Lytechinus pictus: one gene and its partner. The protein of the gene in region 2 interacts with the protein of the main gene of each other region in a pairwise test. Links are inferred from orthologs where the notes say so. Each region holds a gene or a part of one and is shown on either strand. Other genes may lie near its edges.

The links.
Region 1: the proteins of N-terminal kinase-like protein (region 2) and RAB6-interacting golgin-like interact in a two-hybrid assay, tested with the Homo sapiens proteins (2 studies listed by BioGRID and IntAct). The link is inferred for Lytechinus pictus from reciprocal best matches to the Homo sapiens genes SCYL1 and GORAB.

The regions. Positions count from the first base shown.
Region 1 is NC_087259.1:24,658,716-24,668,204, forward strand, and holds the start of RAB6-interacting golgin-like, read right to left. Parts: upstream 4,664-9,489; 5' UTR 4,578-4,663; intron 1-4,577.
Region 2 is NC_087251.1:6,312,147-6,322,685, reverse strand, and holds the start of N-terminal kinase-like protein, read right to left. Parts: upstream 3,923-10,539; 5' UTR 3,628-3,922; coding exon 3,514-3,627; intron 1-3,513. UniProt on the Homo sapiens protein: Regulates COPI-mediated retrograde protein traffic at the interface between the Golgi apparatus and the endoplasmic reticulum. Involved in the maintenance of the Golgi apparatus morphology.

The DNA of each region.
Region 1 (9,489 bases), on a different chromosome or scaffold from region 2:
TTCAATAATCTTGTTATGAAACCTGAGTGATATGTTTACATTGACTAGCGAACTCAATTGATAACGGCACTTGACAGGTGAATGAACTTTTTTTTCTTGTGTGGAGAAATCTTTGAAAACTGAGACAATTTTCTGGCCGGCGCCTCTACTGCTAGTGCGAGCACGCGAGGTTATCCTACTAACTCGCACACCATGCACACAGAACCGCATATGGCAGTAGATTTCTAACAAGTGGGTCTCGCGTGCTGGGACGCCACTTCTGGCGTCCACAACACGACTTCTATGGCTTGATTTTTCTGTGCTCGGCGGCATGTAATGAACCCATGGCAGGACTGGTCCCACATACCTATAATAAATAAAATAGACTCTAACGGAGTCTAAGTAACGTTAATTATTAACAAGTGGAATGCCTCTGGCCGTCTCACCTGCATCACGCTATTCAATATAGCAGCAGTGCTGATTTTGAAAACTACTATAACTCGCACAAGATGTTCAGTGATACTTGGTTACTCTTATTTCCACGTGTTATGAACTAGACCAATACACTTATAGAGATATGATGGCAATTCAACAAATACCCCCAATGTGGCCAAAGTTCTTTGACCTTAAATGACCTTTGACCTTGATCATGTGACCTGAAACTCGCACAGGATGTTCAGTGATACTTGATTAGTCTTATGTCCAAGTTTCAAGAGTCAGATCCATCAACTTTCAAAGTTATGATGGTAATTCAACAGATACCCCCATTGTGGCCAAAGTTTATTGACCTTTGACCTTGGTCATGTGACCTAAAATGTGCACAGGATGTTCAGTGATACTTGATTACTCTTATGTCCAAGTTTTATGAACTAGACCAACACACTTTCAAATTTATGGCTGTAATTCAACAAATACCCCAATTTGGCCAAAGTTCATTGACCCTAAATGACCTTTGACCTTGATCATGTGACCTGAAACTTGCACAGGATGTTCAGTAATACTTGATTACTATTATGTTCAAGTTTCATGAATCAGATCCATAAACTTTCAAAGTTATGATGGTAATTCAACAGATACCTCCAATTCGGCCAAAGTTCATTGACCCTAAATGACCTTTGACCTTGGTCATGTGACATGAAATTCATGCAGGATGTTCAGTGATACTTGATTAACCTTATGTATAAGTTTCATGAACTAGGTCCATATATTTTCTAAGTTATGATGACATTTCAAAAACTTAACCTTAGGTTAAGATTTTGATGTTGATTCCCCCAACATGGTCTAAGTTCATTGACCCTAAATGACCTTTGACCTTGGTCATGTGACATGAAACTCAGGCAGGATGTTCAGTAATACTTGATTAATCTTATGGCCAAGTTTCATGAACTAGGTCCATATACTTTCTAAGTTATGCTGTCATTTCAAAAACTTAACCTCAGGTTAAGATTTGGTGTTGACGCCGCTGCCGCCGTCGCCGCAGCCGTCGGAAAAGCGGCGCCTATAGTCTCACTCTGCTATGCAGGTGTGACAAAAATGCTTTTCTTTTTTAGCTAAAATTTCATGATTTCACAAAGATAAGTTTATGATGGGGGGACCTAAAGCTACGCACTTTGTTTGCAAACAATAAAAACTATCCCAATTTTAATATTTCAACAAACATCATTCACTAATTTGTGGCAAAAATTCTAAAGATCATTAACCAAGAAGAAAATATCGCAAAACTCACTAATACGAAAATCCCGCCATGTTTTCCGAACACCTCTTCATTCGCCACCCGATGTAGAAGGGGTCCTAAAGCTACGCACTCGATTTATCATGCAAAAAAATAGTATTTCCTGTGCCTCAATTTCTAAAATATATTCATATTATTATAGGATAAAATGAAATTTAAGCGAATATAACTCCTAAATTCCAAACAGTTGTTGGTTTTCTCTGCATTTAGAGATTTACTGCAGCCTCTGTTGAAAAAATTGAATAGGAATCGTTCGTCACTCTGCAGTCACAGTTCCACACACAGAGTGCGCATTTGCCATAACAAGTGGAATGCCTCTGGCCGTCTCACCTGCATCACGCGATTCAATATAGCAGCAGTGCTGATTTTGAAAACTACTATAACTCGCACAAGATGTTCAGTGATACTTGGTTACTCTTATTTCCACGTTTTATGAACTAGACCAATACACTTATAGAGATATGATGGCAATTCAACAAATACCCCCAACGTGGCCAAAGTTCTTTGACCTTACATGACCTTTGACCTTGATCATGTGACCTGAAACTCGCACAGGATGTTCAGTGATACTTGATTACTATTATGTCCAAGTTTTATGAACTAGACCAACACACTTTCAAATTTATGGCTGTAATTCAACAAATATCCCAATTTGGCCAAAGTTCATTGACCCTAAATGACCTTTGACCTTGATCATGTGACCTGAAACTTGCACAGGATGTTCAGTAATACTTGATTACTATTATGTCCAAGTTTCATGAATCAGATCCATAAACTTTCAAAGTTATGATGGTAATTCAACAGATACCCCCAATTCGGCCAAGTTCATTGACCCTAAATGACCTTTGACCTTGGTCATGTGACGTGAAACTCATGCAGGATGTTCAGTGATACTTGATTAACCTTATGTATAAGTTTCATGAACTAGGTCCATATATTTTCTAAGTTATGATGACATTTCAAAAACTTAACCTTAGGTTAAGATTTTGATGTTGATTCCCCCAACATGGTCTAAGTTCATTGACCCTAAATGACCTTTGACCTTGGTCATGTGACATGAAACTCAGGCAGGATGTTCAGTAATACTTGATTAACCTTATGGCCAAGTTTCATGAACTAGGTCCATATACTTTCTAAGTTATGCTGTCATTTCAAAAACTTAACCTCAGGTTAAGATTTGGTGTTGACGCCGCCGTCGCCGCCGCCGTCGGAAAAGCGGCGCCTATAGTCTCACTCTGCTATGCAGGTGAGACAAAAACTGGATGCGCGACGAGTGGTGCGTAGCTTTAGGACCCGCGCAGCTTTAGGACCCCCTACCATACATTTAAGGGCCATTCCGTGCTTTTGGGAACTGGTAGCCAAATTGAACTTGTACCTCCTTTCACCACAATATGTAAAGAATCTTCGCTTCGGCGATTTTGAAAAGAATTGATGCGAGAGACTTTGTTTACGATGCGAAGCTCCTCACACAACTGGTTACCTCTTTCCTCATGCGATGTTTAACGGGCTCAGTTTGCCACGGGTGGACAAGTTTTCAGATGACATCGACTATTCCGCGGAATCATAATTTTTGTAATTATCCATCTACCCCGCATTTCCCTGCTCTTCAAGACCACTCTGCCACTTTCACAATGTTGACAAAAACTTATATTACAAAATCGATTCACTAAATAAATCACAAACAAGATATATCTGGGGATGAATCACTTTAGTAAACTGTAACTGTATTATCTACTCGTGAAAATGGGAACCAGCATAGCTGGTTCCCATTTTCACGAGTAGATAAAGACAGTTTACTAGTGAAATTTATTTCGTCAGAGTCATCACTGACGAAATAAATCTCATTGGCAATCTCTCTCTATATCTACTCTTCAAAATGGGAACCATCTAAGAAAATTCTTTTGAATTATAAATGCTGGTTCCCATTTTCACGAGTAGATAAAGACAGTTTATTAATCAGATTTATTTCGTCAGAGAATCATCACTAACGAAATAAATATTACTAGTAATCTGTCTTTATCTACTCGCTGAAATGGGAACCAGCGTGTACAACTCTATTGAGAATTTTCCACGCTGGTTCCCATTTTGGCGAGTAGATTAAACTAGTTTAATCTACTCGCTGAAATGGGAACCAGCGTGTACAACTCTATGTGGAGTTTTCCATAGAGTTGTACGCACTGGTTCCCATTTCAGCGAGTAGAGTAAACTAGTTTACTCTACTCGCTAAAATGGGAACCAGTGTGTACAACTCTATGGGGAGTTTTCACGCTGGTTCCCATTTTAGCGAGTAGAGAAAAGACGGCGACGAAATCAATCTTTCTGATCTAAGCTCTTTGAAGGATTACTTTATCTAGAATCAGCGCGCCAGCTGCGGTGAAGCAGTGAACAAGCTCGAAAAGGTAGGTAGGTCATGTCTTGTCGTGAAAAAGTCTCCTTTGGAAATTAGGAACTGGTTCCCAATTTCACGATAATGCCCATTTAAGACATTAAGTACCAGATCTAGATAAATGATAATATGGTGACAACAATTAATCTTGATTTATTAAAAAGACTTTCTCATGAAATAGTTTGCTGCAACTACGATACCGGTATACCGGTACGATACTACGAAACTGTTCGTCTAACTTAGTTTCATCTACTTGGCAGTGATCAAGCTAACGTAAGAAACATAACGTGGGACTACAGTAACCCTGTCAGTAACCCAGGGAGCTCCGGCGCCCGCTGCGAGGGCCGGAGCTCCCTGGGTTACCCTGTCAGCAGCAAAATATGCCGAAGTTTGTTTGGAAAAATACTAAATACACTAAAAAGATATCATCAAAGCTTCAACTTTACTTGCCCATTTTTGACTGATTTAAGCAATACTTACAACTTCCCTCCTAAACATTTCACTCCAAAAACAACTGAATTAAATTTGTTGACAAGAATTGTTGACGTGTCCTCTGCTCGCTCTGGCTCTAACGCACGTACGTTCACCGCCTATAGGCTATGTATCAACTCAGTGGAGCCCGCCATTATAAAAGCCCTCTCGCGGTAGGTCGCCTAACAATCTTGTTAGCGACGCTTACGAGCATCTTCTTGCTCACTCTCCAAAATGTCTGCGATATTAAAATCCTAAAAACTAATGAAATCGTTTAAATTTAGTGAGACTATGAATGTTTATCATTTATATTGACTATCGGTGTATCAACCTATATCGAAATTATAAGCAAGTGTGTGTAAGAAGGCGATTTACCAGTCATTTTGATGAGTGATACAATATGCCAAAATTTATGAAAATATAGCGTAAATTTTATATAGCATTTCAAAAATCCTTATTTTCAATATCCCCATAATTTTTTGTTGTTTTAAAAAATATCTTATTACATTAACTAGAATTTTCCAGACCTGATAACGTTGGTAGCTTATTTTCTCCATCATTCATAAGAAAATTTCAGGCCTTCAAAATCTGGTTATTTTTTGTTATATTTCTAAAAGAAAATAGTTAGATTCGAACAACTATACCATTGTTCTCCCGAAGAAGGGTTATCATCACATAAATTTGTGTATATCATACATAACATTAAATATTACGAGTGTAGCAATCAATGTTGGATAACATTTTTCACGATGAGTTACGTAATGAACAGACAAATCAAGTTCATTCTTAGCACACGAGCCGCAGAATGCAAAATTTTAGCGTGTGCAGACGGGGCTGATCGCCCGGGCTGTCCGTTCAGATTATCCAGTCCGATACTGGAGTCAGGTGGTATATTTCACGTACCTTTTCCCCTCGCGATGACCACTGTGCAGTTTTAGTGTTTTATTTCGATACTCAGTCTATGAAATTCATACTTTACCGATGTCTAAAAATACTTGGAATATACCTGACACATAAATTATTTCATTTTCGGTGATTATTATTTCTTTCCTTAATTACAAAAAGTCAAACTGATGTCAAGAATGTGTAACATTGACTGTATAGTTAAAAATATAGGTTTGGGAAATATCGTGTTAAGTTTGTCCAATGTCATCAGCATCTCGGTATATGTTAAACAGAAAATATAAAACAACTATATGTTTTGTAAATTCCACGACCGCCTTTACCATTATGGAACATATGAAGCCAACCTGCATGACCGCCGGGGGGGGGGGGGGGGACTCAAATTATTTGTTAAAATGAAAGTAGTATCAATATTTATAGACCTTCAATATGCCTATTACCAGGCTCTTGTGATTATAAATTATAATCATGGTGAGTTGGGGGAGTAAAAGGGTTGGATGAAATAGATTGCATGGGGAGGGGTCGAGGCCGAGAGAAAAAAAGAATTAAGGGGCCAAAAGGAGATTGCAGGCCGGTAGAATGACAGAGGGTCAAATATTAATAGGGCAAGCTTTATTTGAGAGCTTGACCATAACAGGAGGGAAGGAAAAATACAAGACAGTGGAAATTTAAATAGGGAGAGCTGATCTTTGAGATATATAATGGCACGAAAGCAAAAACAAAGAAAGAGAGAACAGGGAGATAAAGGAGGAGGAGAAGCCCTTGCAATTAAAATGTATCAAACACACTTGGCTGGGGCGGCAGTGAGCACGGTGAGATGATTACCCCCCCCCCCCCCTCCCTCTACCACCTCGTCAGTCTCAGTAGCAGAGAAAGGGGACTAATGATTGACTTTTTGTGATTCATGCAGGTCGAAAGAAATGATAATTCTCAAAAATGAAATCATTCATGTGTCAGGTATATTAGAGCATTTTTAGATATCGGTAAACTATTCATTTCACAGATTAAGTATCAACATTAAGCACTATAAAACTGGACAGTGGTCATCGTGGAATATACCACCCGAAACCAGCATGACCAGTATGGGACTAGATAATCCCGTCCGACACACTAGGGATCAGCCCCGTCTGCGCACGCTAAAATTTATCATTCTGCGGCTCGCGTGCCAAGAATGAACTTGATTTTTTCTCTTCATTACAAAACTCATCGTGAAAAAGATTATCTAACATGGATTACTACACTCCTAAAATGAATTGATATGTATCATTTACACAACAATACGAGATGATAACCCTCATTCGGGCGTACAGTTGGTATAGTAGTTCGAATCTAACAATTTTCTGTTAGAAATATAACAATAATTAACCTGATTTTGAAGGTCTGGCATTTCCTCATAAAGCCGAGAAACAGTAATCTATTAACGTTATCAGGTCGGGAAAATTCTAGTTAATGTAATAAGATATTTTTTAAAACAACAAAAAATTATGGGGATATTGAAAATAAGGATTTTGAAATGCTATATAAAATTTACGCTATATTTTCATAAATTTTGGCACTTTGCATCACTCATCAAAATGACTGATAATTCGTAATATAACAGGCAATTGCCATTAAATTCGGTATGAGTTTGTACACCGATAGTCAGTGTAAATGATAAACATTCATAGCCTTACTAAATTTGAATAATTCCATCAGTTTGTAGGATTTTAATATCGCAGACATTATGGAGATTGAGCCAAACGATGCTAACAGGCGTTGCTAACAGGGTTGCTAGGCCCGAAAATCCGATTAAGCTCCGCCCACTTTTTACACTGAGTTGGAGGGATTAAAGCTCGTGAACGTTGGGCTTGACAGTCGAGTCTTGAATATTCATGAACCATGCATGATCGACGGTGATCGAGTGCATAACTTTGCCGGGTATGGAGGGAGGGGCTATATAGGGGGGCGGCAAGATTAAAGTAACCTTTTAAGTGTTGACATATCATAAAGTGAAGTTACTTAAGTTCTATATTAAAAATAGTTGTATTGTAAGGTGTACAAATTATAAGTTCAGGGGTATAGAAATGATAAAGTTCTATTAACTCAATCATCGAACCAAAGGGGAAATAAGTGAAACTGAAGTAGAGACGCAAGTTGAATTGAACCCCGGGGGGGGGGGGCACTCAGTATATAATGCATAGTGGGTATGTGCCGCGGAGGGGACCCCCATTTTTACACTCAAATTTCCGTTCCAAGGCATAGCATTTTTGTCCTATTGAGAAAAAAAACAAAGAAAGCCGCTCCAAGGCATAGCATTTCCTTCTTATCGAGAAAAAAGAAGAAAGAAATCCGCTCCAAAGCTTTGCATATTTTTCGTTACGCCGTTCCGGTCGCATTGATCTGCTACAATTTTGGTGAAAAGCGGCCGTAGAGCGCTTTTCGACCATCGCCTAAGCGCGAGCGCACCCAGCGGAGGCCGCCCTAGCTGCGTCATGCACGATTGCCCGTTCCATAGGGATGCATACGCATTCACAGAGATACGGAGATCCGTTCCGAGGACCCCCGTTTTCACAAACATTTGTAGTTCCGAAGCCCGTTCCGAGGACCCTCCTTTTTACAATAAGCCCGCTCCAAGGCCCCCGTTTTTTGCCTCGCCCGCGGCACACCACTACCACTTTTTTGGTCGAGTGCCCCCCCCCCCCCCGGAATTGAACAGAACCAAAGAAGTCTGGTAGTGCATCTCTGGGCCTGGGCTACGTTGCCTCAGCTGAACTCAGAATGATATACAATTTACATAATTTATTTGAATTAGAAATAACAACCAATAATGGAAGGATCGAACTAAAATGTAAGAACCCAATACATAAGATAAACCAATAAGGAATATGAAGGATGTCTGGGTGATTGTGTAATAAAACAGAAACTAAGGAGTCAGACTAGGGATGCAATGAGTGGAACACCTGAAGAGAGAATAGGGAAGGAATGAAGATGACAAAGAGAATGTCGGAGAGAAAAGGAATTCAGAGTAGAATGAATGAATGACCATTGAATATCATAACCTAAGTTCAAGGGCAGTGCTGAAAAGAAATGCAAATGAACTCAAGTCTATATAGACGGAACAGAAATGTAAAACAGCTGAAGAAAAAACAAGTCAAAGGAAATAAACAAAATAGGAAAATGACAAAATAACCATCCTACGTACAGTATATCTTGTGCATTTTTACGAGAATATACTCATGAGCCTCGTAGATAAATGCAGGCATGCAGCCTTTTTCTTTGGTGAAACTGCAAAACGATGTACTAGTAGAAGTTTATCAAATCGGGTAAAATATCAGGGAATATCGAGCTTATAACTGGCACCCGCCCATATAGCCCTACCTACGAAAAAAAAATTGCCTGTCTATGAAGGAGTGGAGCTCCGAGCAAGAAAATTTATGCGGTAGGGCCTAAAACTTAAATGATATATAGACACTTCTAGTCAGATAAGTCAAGCCATAGATGTTTAGTCAGTGAACGGTGCCGGGGGCTGACATTGACCGGATGAGATAGTTTTAAAAATTTGAAGAATGAAAAATGCTGTTTTGGAGCACTTTACAGCTCGAGTAGGTTGCTCATGAATTTACTAAATGCGTAATTATTATTATTATTATTATTATTTTTTTTTTTTTTTTTTGGGGGGGGGGGGGGCAACGGGTGGGCTGGCAACGCTCCCGACGGAGACAAATGCCCCCATGCCCCTCCCGGCCTAGTGCCTCCACTGGTGCACACAACCTTATTGCAGGGGCCAGCTATGGGGCCTACTTCCGACTCCAGTGCACCTGCCTCCACATTACTCTATCAAAACTATTCAGTTATATTTTATCATCTCTCTGATCAAATTGTGTTTTAGAACTTTCATTTTTCTAAAATTTTCATAAGAATAGGTATATGCTATTGATAAATTATCATGGAATTCACATATTGATACAATTTGCAAAACCTTATCAAGAAACGCTATAGTGATATAGTTATATGCTCTTTCACCGATTGCCTCTCGTTA
Region 2 (10,539 bases):
ATTAGTGCACCTTGGTCCCAATAAAGGTCACAACTTTTGTTTTAAAAAACAATATGGCAAGTTCCCCCCAAGTCTGTGCAGTCCCCCTTGTCATATCTGCGCAATTCTAGTATAAGAAGATACGCAACGAACACAAACTTTACACATGCAACATATAGACAGATATTCATTAAAAAGTCCTACTCAAAATGGTGGAAAAATAATTAATTTTGGGCGTTTCATGTCACGGCCTCAAAATGCAGCCTTTCTCATTAAAATACCCGAATCGTGTGGAAAGTGAATGGGTGCGCAGACATGAGTTACCATTTTTTTTATTCAATCTGAAAATGACTGCCCGAGGTTTTTTTCCAAGAAAATTCTATATTTCTTTCAAATTTGTATGAGATATTTGGTACACCTACTCGTAATAATAGAAGGAACATTATTAACTAAAAGATTTTGTGAAAAGAGAAGAAATTCATGTTAAAATCTCAACTCAAATTGTAATGTTGTTAGGATCAGCGCAGACTTGGGGCCCACCATCATTCATAGTTCATACCATAACCTCCTTGGGCCGATTGCACGAAAGGGTCTTTTCAAGGACCGTCTTTCGTGTCGCCCATCTTTTATGATGCGCTGTATGCGGGATATTTCTGAAATGTATGATTAACAAATAAAATTTGTTAGCTAGTACTAGTAGTAGCATTAAAACCAATTTGTATACAATTAATTTCATGATATATCACATCATTTAATAAACAAAGATTTTGTTTACTTTAACGGATGAATAAAATATTTTTGCACGTATAATTTATTTAAAATGCGTTTCACATGGCACATCATAATAAATGGGCGACACGAAAGACGGTTCTTGCAAAGGCAAAGCCAAAGACCCTTTCGCGCAATCGGCCCCTTGTTACCACTCCTAGTACCAATGAGGTCCAACATTACATGTATGGACCTCATAGGCGACATAAGTGATAAAACCGGTTAGACATTGCCGTTTCTATTTGCACACAAGGACTTTGGCAAATGTACGCCTTAATACAAATTGGATGGTAAAAATTTTGGTATAAATTAGTTCTTAACATCTTAAATAATCTATTACAATGGTTAAAAGTTAATGGATTGAGGTTAAACTTACATTTTCAGTCTTTTTTCTTGAATTCTTGGTGAGCGTTCCAAACGCTGTGGGGACTGATCAACTCCGATGTGATTCACGTACTGGTCAGCTGATCGGTCAGGTGATCGGTTGGTTATCTTTTTGTCAGACGTTCATAATTTATATTACAATATATCAATCTTCAGTATCTTGATTTCAAGCATCAGTATTGCAGGGAAAAGTCATTATCGATTGGAATCAGTGGCAGATCGGGGGGGGGGGGGGGGTGGTTGAGCATTTCTGGCCCGTTCCACCTTTTGAGATTCATAGTCAATATTTTGGATGTAAAAAAAAATATGTCGTTCGTACAAACTTATGTCCCCCCCACCTCCTTATGAGAATCACAGCAATATTTGTAATGGGGATATTTTGTTCATATTCTTTGCTCTTTTTTGTCCTTTTCTTTTTTGCTTCTCAAATTTATTTTACTTTGAACAACATGACTTTCTATATTTAATGACAAACTTTTTTAGGGGGGGGGTGGGGGCTTGCCAAATATAACGCGCGGCAAGATGACCTTCTTTTTTTAGTGACAACTTTTTTTTTATTTGTCAAATTTTACGAGAGACAAAATGACCTTCAATCATTATTAGTTAAACCTTTTTTTTGGGGGGGGGGGGGTAGGGGGCTCGCCAAATAGTGACACACTTTTTTTGAAAATTTTACGCAAGAAAAAAATGATCTTCAATCATTATCAGTTACCTTTCATTTTTTTTTTTTTTTAGGGGGGGGGGCTTGTCAAATTTTACGTGGGACAAATGACCTTCATTTTTTAGTGATTTTTTTTTATACTTGACAAATTTTAAGAGGAACAAAATGGCCTTCAATCATTTTTAGTTAAAACCTTTTTTTTTTTGGGGGGGGGGGGGGGCTTGCCAAATATTTCACAAACAAAATGAACTTCAATTTTAGTGACCATCTTTTTATTACTTTTAAAATTTCACGCAGGACAAAATGACCTTCACTTTTTTTTAATGTTATGTTATATCGAGATTATTTACCTGACTGCTAAACAAGCACGAATGCCTGTGAGCAAGCAACCAGGGGACCGACGGCTTAAGGTCCTCTCCGAGGGACCTGGTAATGAGGATAAATGCCTTACCAAAGGGCACTAGCGCACCACTTGGTAATCGAACCTGGGTCACCGGAATCCGAAACCCCCGCTCTACCGACTGAGCTATCGCGCCTCCGATATGTTAACCTTGGGGGGGGGGAGGCTTGCCAAATATTACACGGACAAAATGACAGTCTTTTATTTTTAGTAACCATCTTTTTTGTTTTACTTGTCAAATCTTACGCGAGACAAAATGACAATTTTTCTGTGATAACCTTTTTTTGGGGGGTTGTCAAATTTTACTTGAGAAAATGCACCCCCCTACTTTGGAAAATCGAAGATAAAGATCATATACATCTCAGAGGCGTAAACAGATGGGGGCATGGCTGGCCATCCCCCGAGTGGATTTCACCTGAAAAAAAACATGATAAGAGCAAAGGAAGGAAGAAAGAAAGAAAGAAAAAATGAAAGAAAGAAAGAACGAAAGGAAATGTAAAATGGAAGGAAAGTCATGTGAGAACAAATAATCCGGGGGGGGGGGGGGATCTACTCAGATAATAAAAAAAATCTGCCATCTGTAATTAAATTGGATTAGTTAATATCCAGAGGTCCCAGTGCTACCAACATGCATGTAGTACGGGCAGTGGCGTACCTAGGATTTTCCACAGGGGGCAAAATCGGCCGCCAAAAAATTTGACAAGCAAAAAAAAAAAAAAAAAAAAGGTCTTCAAGCTCGTCAGGGGGGGCAGAGATACGTAATTTGCATGGGTTTGTGACTCATCGGGGGGGGGGGGGCAGACTGCCCCCCCCCTAGGTACGCTAGTGCTCGTGACTTACATTACGTAAGTATTATCTTCCACACGCGACATGTGCATATGTGCTATGCCCCCTCTTATATACCCCTGTTATGCCCCTGCACAGACTCGTCTACATTGATTTCGATATTTAAGCGTCATTATAAAATTATAGCAAAAAGAACGCCTTGAATTTGCTGGAAATTCAAGGCCAAAACGTACCCGTCTGGCGTCGACTTTTCCAACACACGTACACGTTGGAATAGCGGTGTAGCCCCAGAGTGCTTGTTACTGGGGCTATGAAATGAATGAGGTATTAATGAAAGGTCTTGATGAACTCTAAATGATGCTATGAAGCAAACACCTCATTTCTCAAATTTATTTTTTTGCAACATACCTACCTGGATGACAGCTGAATTATTGAATTTGAATTTTGATAAGAGACAGGAATATCCGGAATGAAACATGAAACACTGCGTGTGGGACTGTGTTGGTAGGCGATTAGCCATTAATTTAATATTTACCTTTCGTTTTCCGTGATGCAAAGTCCAAATTGATTTATCTTCTAAGCCATCCACCTTCTCTCCTATTTCAAAAGGAAAGCTCCTCGTTGGATCTCTCGACAAAAATGACCACATCGTCGAAACTTCTTGTTTTCCTTAGCTTTGGCTCAATCAGTTCTCGGTAGATCAACACGTCAATTACACGTCACAAATATACCGTACCGTACGCTGCCCAATCGTCGCTCAGTTTACGTATTTTCCTTTATGTTTCATTCAATTAGCTATGATACCCTTACTTCTATATGTCACCTGAAAGAGAAAATACTGGAAAATTGTTTCATAGGATAATAATTATATGTCTTCAAAGCACCGCTGTGTAATTCGCCGTTTTCGGCACCCCTTGCGCCTGTCCCATTCGCCGCTCACCACTGCCCTAACTCCGCTCACTTAGCGCGCGCATTCATACATGTAGTTTATAAGGCCTGATACTGTCTAACTCTTTTTTCTACCCTTTTCTTGCACTTCTGAGTGAGAAAGTGTGTAATTTTGTTGTGATTAAATGTATTGTTTACAAGTTTTATAGTACTATGCACTGTATAAAATGTTCCTTTCGCCAAGTGCAATTATTTTTAGGGCCTCAAATTTTTTGTTACTGATCTACGCCTATATCATTTTTTTTATCCTCCAAACTTTATTCCGTATTTTTTTATAAAATACATATTTTCAAAAAACCTTTCCCGACAAACTTTTAACTGATTTCAATTGTCTAATAATATGAATATGATTCTAATCCATTCATGAATTTTATGAGTGTATCATTATTTATTTATTTCGGAAATGAAAAGTATATGAAATTGGAACAATGTAAAACAACATTAACAGAGTATAGATTGAGCACCCACTGGGTCAAATAAATTACTGTTGTCAATAAAGACCATGACCCTAACCAGTGCTATAAGGGTGCTTACATAAAATCGGAAGCGGATAAAAGAGTCAGCATGAACAAAAAGGTTTTAAACAACAATATACAGTATATAATAGAATAACATGCTTGATATAGTTAAGTTAACTTAACTTAAAATATCAATATTGATGAATTTACACCTTATAAATAAAACGCTATAAAGCTCTTTTAGCACATTCGCCATTCAAAGTAATCATTTTCGCCACTCATCCAACTTGAGTGCCCCCCCCCTTGTCGTCCCTTCCGCTCATTGCCCCCTGATGTCATTGACCATTGATTTACATTATTATTTTTTTTACTATTAGAAATAATTATTTTTATTCACTGCATATTCTTTGGAGCCTTCAACCAACAAGCTTTGCTTTTACTTTTAGCTCCCTCATATCCACATCTCTCATTTTCTTTCTTTGTCATTATTTTAGAACCAATTTCAAGAATACATTCTAGTACTTTTTTTATTGTTATATTATGTATATAATATACATTTCATATTTTTACGATTTATGCTTATCTATGAAAACTTGTATTGTATAATATTATTGTTTGTATTGAATTGTTGATTTTTTGAAAATGTGAAATGTTGATGTGAATAGACCTTGAACCCTGAACTCCGATAATACTTTTGGGGGGATTCCCTTATATTGACTTTCATAAAAAAAAGCTCATCTTGAAAAACAACAATAATATTTAATCACCTCGCTGGTTTAAGTTCACATTCGAACTCCCGTCAATAATAGGAGAGGGAAAAGGGCACTCAAGAAAATTCTATTTGTTCAAAATAAATTGGTCAATTTAAATCCTGTTCCGTTTTCAAACAAAACATAATTAAAAAAAGGAAATATCCATAAACATGACAAAGTTTCATCTATTCAAATCAATCAGGAAACTACTGACCGAGTTCAACAGGCCTATATAGGCCCATTAGTGGGATATATTTTTATTTATTCATTTAAATTCTTTATTTTATTTAGATTTATAGATATGAATCAGATAGGCATGCAGATAATGGGCCTAACATAAAATATATGTATCATTAGGCTCATAAGTTATCACATAGGCCTAATTACACATCTATTTGAGGTGACGTGTATAAAATCCTTGTTTCATTCCAATTAAATTATCCCTAAATTTCATACTCTGAGTAAATTATATTGGTAATCATCAAAATATGAATAGGCCACATAAAAAAACAGCATTACGATCGATAATAGCCTAGAAGACATGCCAGGGGCCGCGGAACCGGGGAGGGGCTTCACCCCAGAGCAAAAAAAAAAAACTATCCCTATAGTTGTTTGTTAGTCGGTATTGATAAGCATCGAAGTCTCATTTTTTAGCATTGATGACCTTAAGATTCGTTATAGAGCAAGATAATTTTTGTAAAACTTTTTCCCAAACACTTTGGGCCAGGCCGCGCGGAATAGGAAAATAACGAAATGAAAAAAAAAAGATTATGAGGAAGGAAAATAAAAGGAAGAAGACAAGACGAAAATGAGAGTTGGGGACCGACAAATACCTATACCCTTCATTTAGAACAAAATAACTATTCAGCCTGCTCTTCGCGCCCGCATTGACCGTTTGTTTCATTATTCATGTCTTGTTTTCAAGTCATTCTCGGTTTGTAAGATAAAACATCATTACAAAAGTGCTTAAAATGTCTCGTTTTTTCTGAATCAGGGGCGGAAATCTTTCCCAAAAAGTAGGGGGGCAAGGGGCTAGAAAATTTGACAAGCAAAAAAATTTTGTTCATGAATTCATATGACACTCGATCTCTTTTCGATCTCCTTTAAGACTTACTTTATTGTTCATGTATTACAGTTATAATCTGCCCTATAGCTAACATAATGAGCATAATATTATGGGCTGATCAATCGAGCTGATTTCTCTTATGTACAAGCAAATATTACCACTATTCTTATTGAAGCGATTTTTCTTATGAGGTAGGCCTATACTGAATTATGACCTGAAATAAATTCAGACATTCCTGAATTGTTTACACTTAATTTTCATCTCATATTAAATTCACGAGTTGAATTAGTAGAGTAATCAGGCGTTACCATGGCAACATACCATTACCATGCATTCAAATGAACTTATATCCATGCAGAACACTCTGTTGTTTTCGAAATTTAATTCAAATGAGTTGGTCGAACCTATGTAGATTTTGGCATTTTCATTGTCATTTTCCACCATTCATCTTTTCCCACCATAATGTTGATTTATGATGGCAATTCAATAAATGCCCCCAAAGGCGTACATGACCAAAGTTCATTGACCTTAAATTACCTTTGACCGTGGCATGACCTGAAACTCACTATAGGATTTTCACTGACTCCCTTATTTCTAAGATTCATGAAAGCTATAGAAACCTATAGTCCTATTTCAAACTTATGATTACATTTCACAAACTTATCCTGTTTTATTTCAATGTTTACGACGCCGCCCGCGCGGCGCCGTCAGAAAAAGCGGCGCCCTGTCTCTGCAGGCAATCAAGACAATTGTATTTTCTGCGGGAAAGATAAGCCGTTACCATGGCAATGGATCTTTTGCAAATACTTTGATGACTTGATAGGCCTATATCTAGAAATTGAATTTGGAAGGCTTAAGAATGATAGATTGGACCATTAAATTGACAGGGTAATATGCCATATATATCGGCTCAATATGTTATTTTTTTTAAACATATTAATCAGTTGCCATGGCAACGGCGGAAGGAGGCATTTATGAAACTGGCAACAAGCGGATTCATGTTCAGCACCATCAAAATAGAGGAACTGACACAAAAAATCAGATTCTAAAGAAAAGTCTACTTGAAAAATTATGACAATTCCGTTTAGGCCCTATATAGTATACTCTTACAATGATTATCATACTACAATCAGGGTGAGCGGAGTTAGGGCAGGCTGCTATCTCAAGGTATGCCCTCGCTAATTCATTCACACAACAAATATTCATTCTAAAAAAATTTGTCATGACGACATATCAGGACCTCCCGCACCTGCGACTCTCACATTTTCATTCATCATATAAGAATATAACATTTTTCACTGTTTTTTAGGAGTTTTTAAAGTGATTGAAAAAAACACGTAATTTGGTGCAGTTGCGGTACAGTTAATCGAAGTTCAAACCCGTTCAAACAGTTATCGGGTTACTTTACATTTAAAGCAGTATTTCACGATGATTTATTAAGGGATTGATTTTATTTTTCCACACTTTGTTTTTTCATGTAATGGTCTCCTCTTGGGTGCTTAATTATGCGAGTATACTAAACAATAAGGAATTTGGGACGAATTTAAAATGATAATCATAATAAGCAGCGTGCGCATCGCGCTTGTGAGGCCGGGGTGAGCGAGAATTGGGCAGCGTACGGTACGTACGATATGACACTGCAGCTGTACTGTGCACATACATGTATATACAGTATATGCCGCAGCACCAAAATATTATCTGCGGCAGTACCGGTACTCCACTTTTCAAAATTTACTCTGAAAGTTCCTGCAATAATATCTCGGAATTATGCAAATGTTCTCCAGTCTTTCTATACTTCTCTTCTATTCACAAAATAGGGCCCAGTGCCGTAATGAGCCAAAAATTTTGAGGGGGCGAAATATGGTAAAAGAATTGCGAGCGAGTGAGGCAAGCGGGCAAGATTTTTGACATTTTCATTACAGCGATCCAATTGAGAGATAGATTTTGACATAATATTCAGAAAATAATATCAGTCCTGTAGATGATAACTTCCCGGAATTTCTCACTACCCAAAATGATCTTGGAAAATAACTTCCCGGAAAGCATGTTGCACCTCTACCCAAATGATAACCATAGACTTAAATATCCCCCCCCCCCCCGGAACTGTATGGTTACAAATAACACACACACAATTTCATTTTTTGTTTTCATTCTTATACTTTCTTGATTAAAAAGTGGTTACTTGTAAACTGCTTTGGCAGATCATGTTTTTCACGACAGTAAAATAGATTTTGATTGAATTTTCTTTTTTGTAACATATTGGGCACTGACAAAGATTGTGACTTTACCTTTCATTTTTTAGAGCTACACTCCTTTTAAAATCTATTATTTTATTTCTATGGCATCAAAAATCCAAGTTTGTGATAAAGTTTGACATAATATTTCACCCTTATCCCTTTCCTTTTCTCTTTTTTTTCTTGGTCATGAAAAATTTTGGGGCAAGAGCCCCCCCCCCCCCCATCTGTACAGCAGTGGTCAAACGGTCATTTAGTAATATAGAGAATGAAAACAGGATGGATAGATGGTCAGAATAGTAGTGGATGGAGGCATGAACATCCAATTTTTTTTAACCCTGATGGATTTTTTGAACCTCTTCACTTAAAATATTCTCCCATTTCATGCTTTTTTTTAAAACAAACTTGACATCATGAAAAACTGTTGGTTATAGCAAGAAATCCTCAAAAAAAGGGAGTCAATTCATAAAGACTTTCTTCTATGGTAACTACTGTAGAAACTTGATTTTGATGACTGCTGAGTCTGTTATTATGAGTTATGTTAATGGCAAAGTTACCATAAATTTAAGTCCTTCATGAAACAGTCCCCAGCAGACCAGTGTGGACAAATTCAAACTCAAATTGGCAACTATGAAGCATGTCATATTTTTTGTATATTTTCTGTGGTAAATGATTTTGTTTTCATAAATCCAACCTAATATATAAGTTTTATTAAAAAAAATTATAATAAAAAAAAAGGAATAGAAAGAAATATATGAGGATATGAAAAGGTGACTTGCTTAGATGTGTTGGTCACATTGATTCTCAAAAACTGAATACAATATCAAAGTGGATTTCTTCACTTGAGAATATAATTAACAAAATAACATATTTCCATGAAATAAAGGACCAATAGTCAAATGATTGTTTCTTTGAATTCATATTGTATTCTAAGAAAGAGATACAGTTCCAACAAATGACTAATATTTATATTGCCCCAAAACCTTCCGTTTTCCTTTTGAAGGAAAACAGTAATTATCATAAAACTTGCAATATTCAAGAAAGCCGACCATCCATCGTGTAAGTAGTTTAGTTTTGAAATAGACAATTGAGTCATTACTTATGTAGTGATCTTGTAGTATATCTTTTGATTTGTATGAATAAAAGGGGTAATGCAAGAAACTCTTCAATCAATAACAAGTCAATTTTAGGTCCCAATTTTGAAGAAAAAAAAGGAAAAAGAAATTTATTGCTGGTCCGATTCTTACAAAATAATTATTACAGATAGATCTGATCAGGGACATGAGAGGGAGACCCTGATGATGCTGATCTGATTAAGCAAATTTACATTTTGAAGTCAATTACAAATATTACCATTTCTTGGAACATACCTTAAGTATGGGACTCAATTGATTAAAATTTGTTAAAGGCAAAGTACAGGTTACTTCATATGCTTCTGGAAGTGGTTCAATTTTACTGTTCAATAGAATGATTTCCTAATTAATAACAAGAATTACATGAAATTGATTCTATATTCAGAATAGGACTTAAATTATATAGTTGACTTAAAGCAGAAGTTCACCCTGAAGAAAAGTTTGTTATAAAAATTGCAGAAAAAATAATAAAAGATATTGGTGAAGGTTTGAGGAAAATTCGTTAAAGATTAAAAAAGTTATTAGAATTTTAATTTTTGGATTTGTGATGTCATAAACGAGCAGCTGCCCCATATGTTATGTAATATAAAATGCATTAATTTCATTTCTGTAATGGTTCCTGATGACTTATTTTTGTTTTCTTTTCATGATCCAGTGTGAAATTATTTGTCTATTGATATACAAAAAGGTACAGCGAATACCATTTTCAATTTTCTGAGAAAATTATATTTCATTGATTTTTTTTACCATTCGCTATGTAGAAATGCTGCTCACATATGACATCACAAATCAAATAATTAAAATCATCATTAGTTTTTAATTATTTGATGGATATTTCTCAAACCTTCGGCAATATTTTTTAAATCATTTTTTCTATTTTTACAATAAACTTTTTGTCAGGGTAAACTTCCCCTTTAATTATGAATGACTTACTCACACTTAACAAAAATGCTAATTGTTTAAATATTCT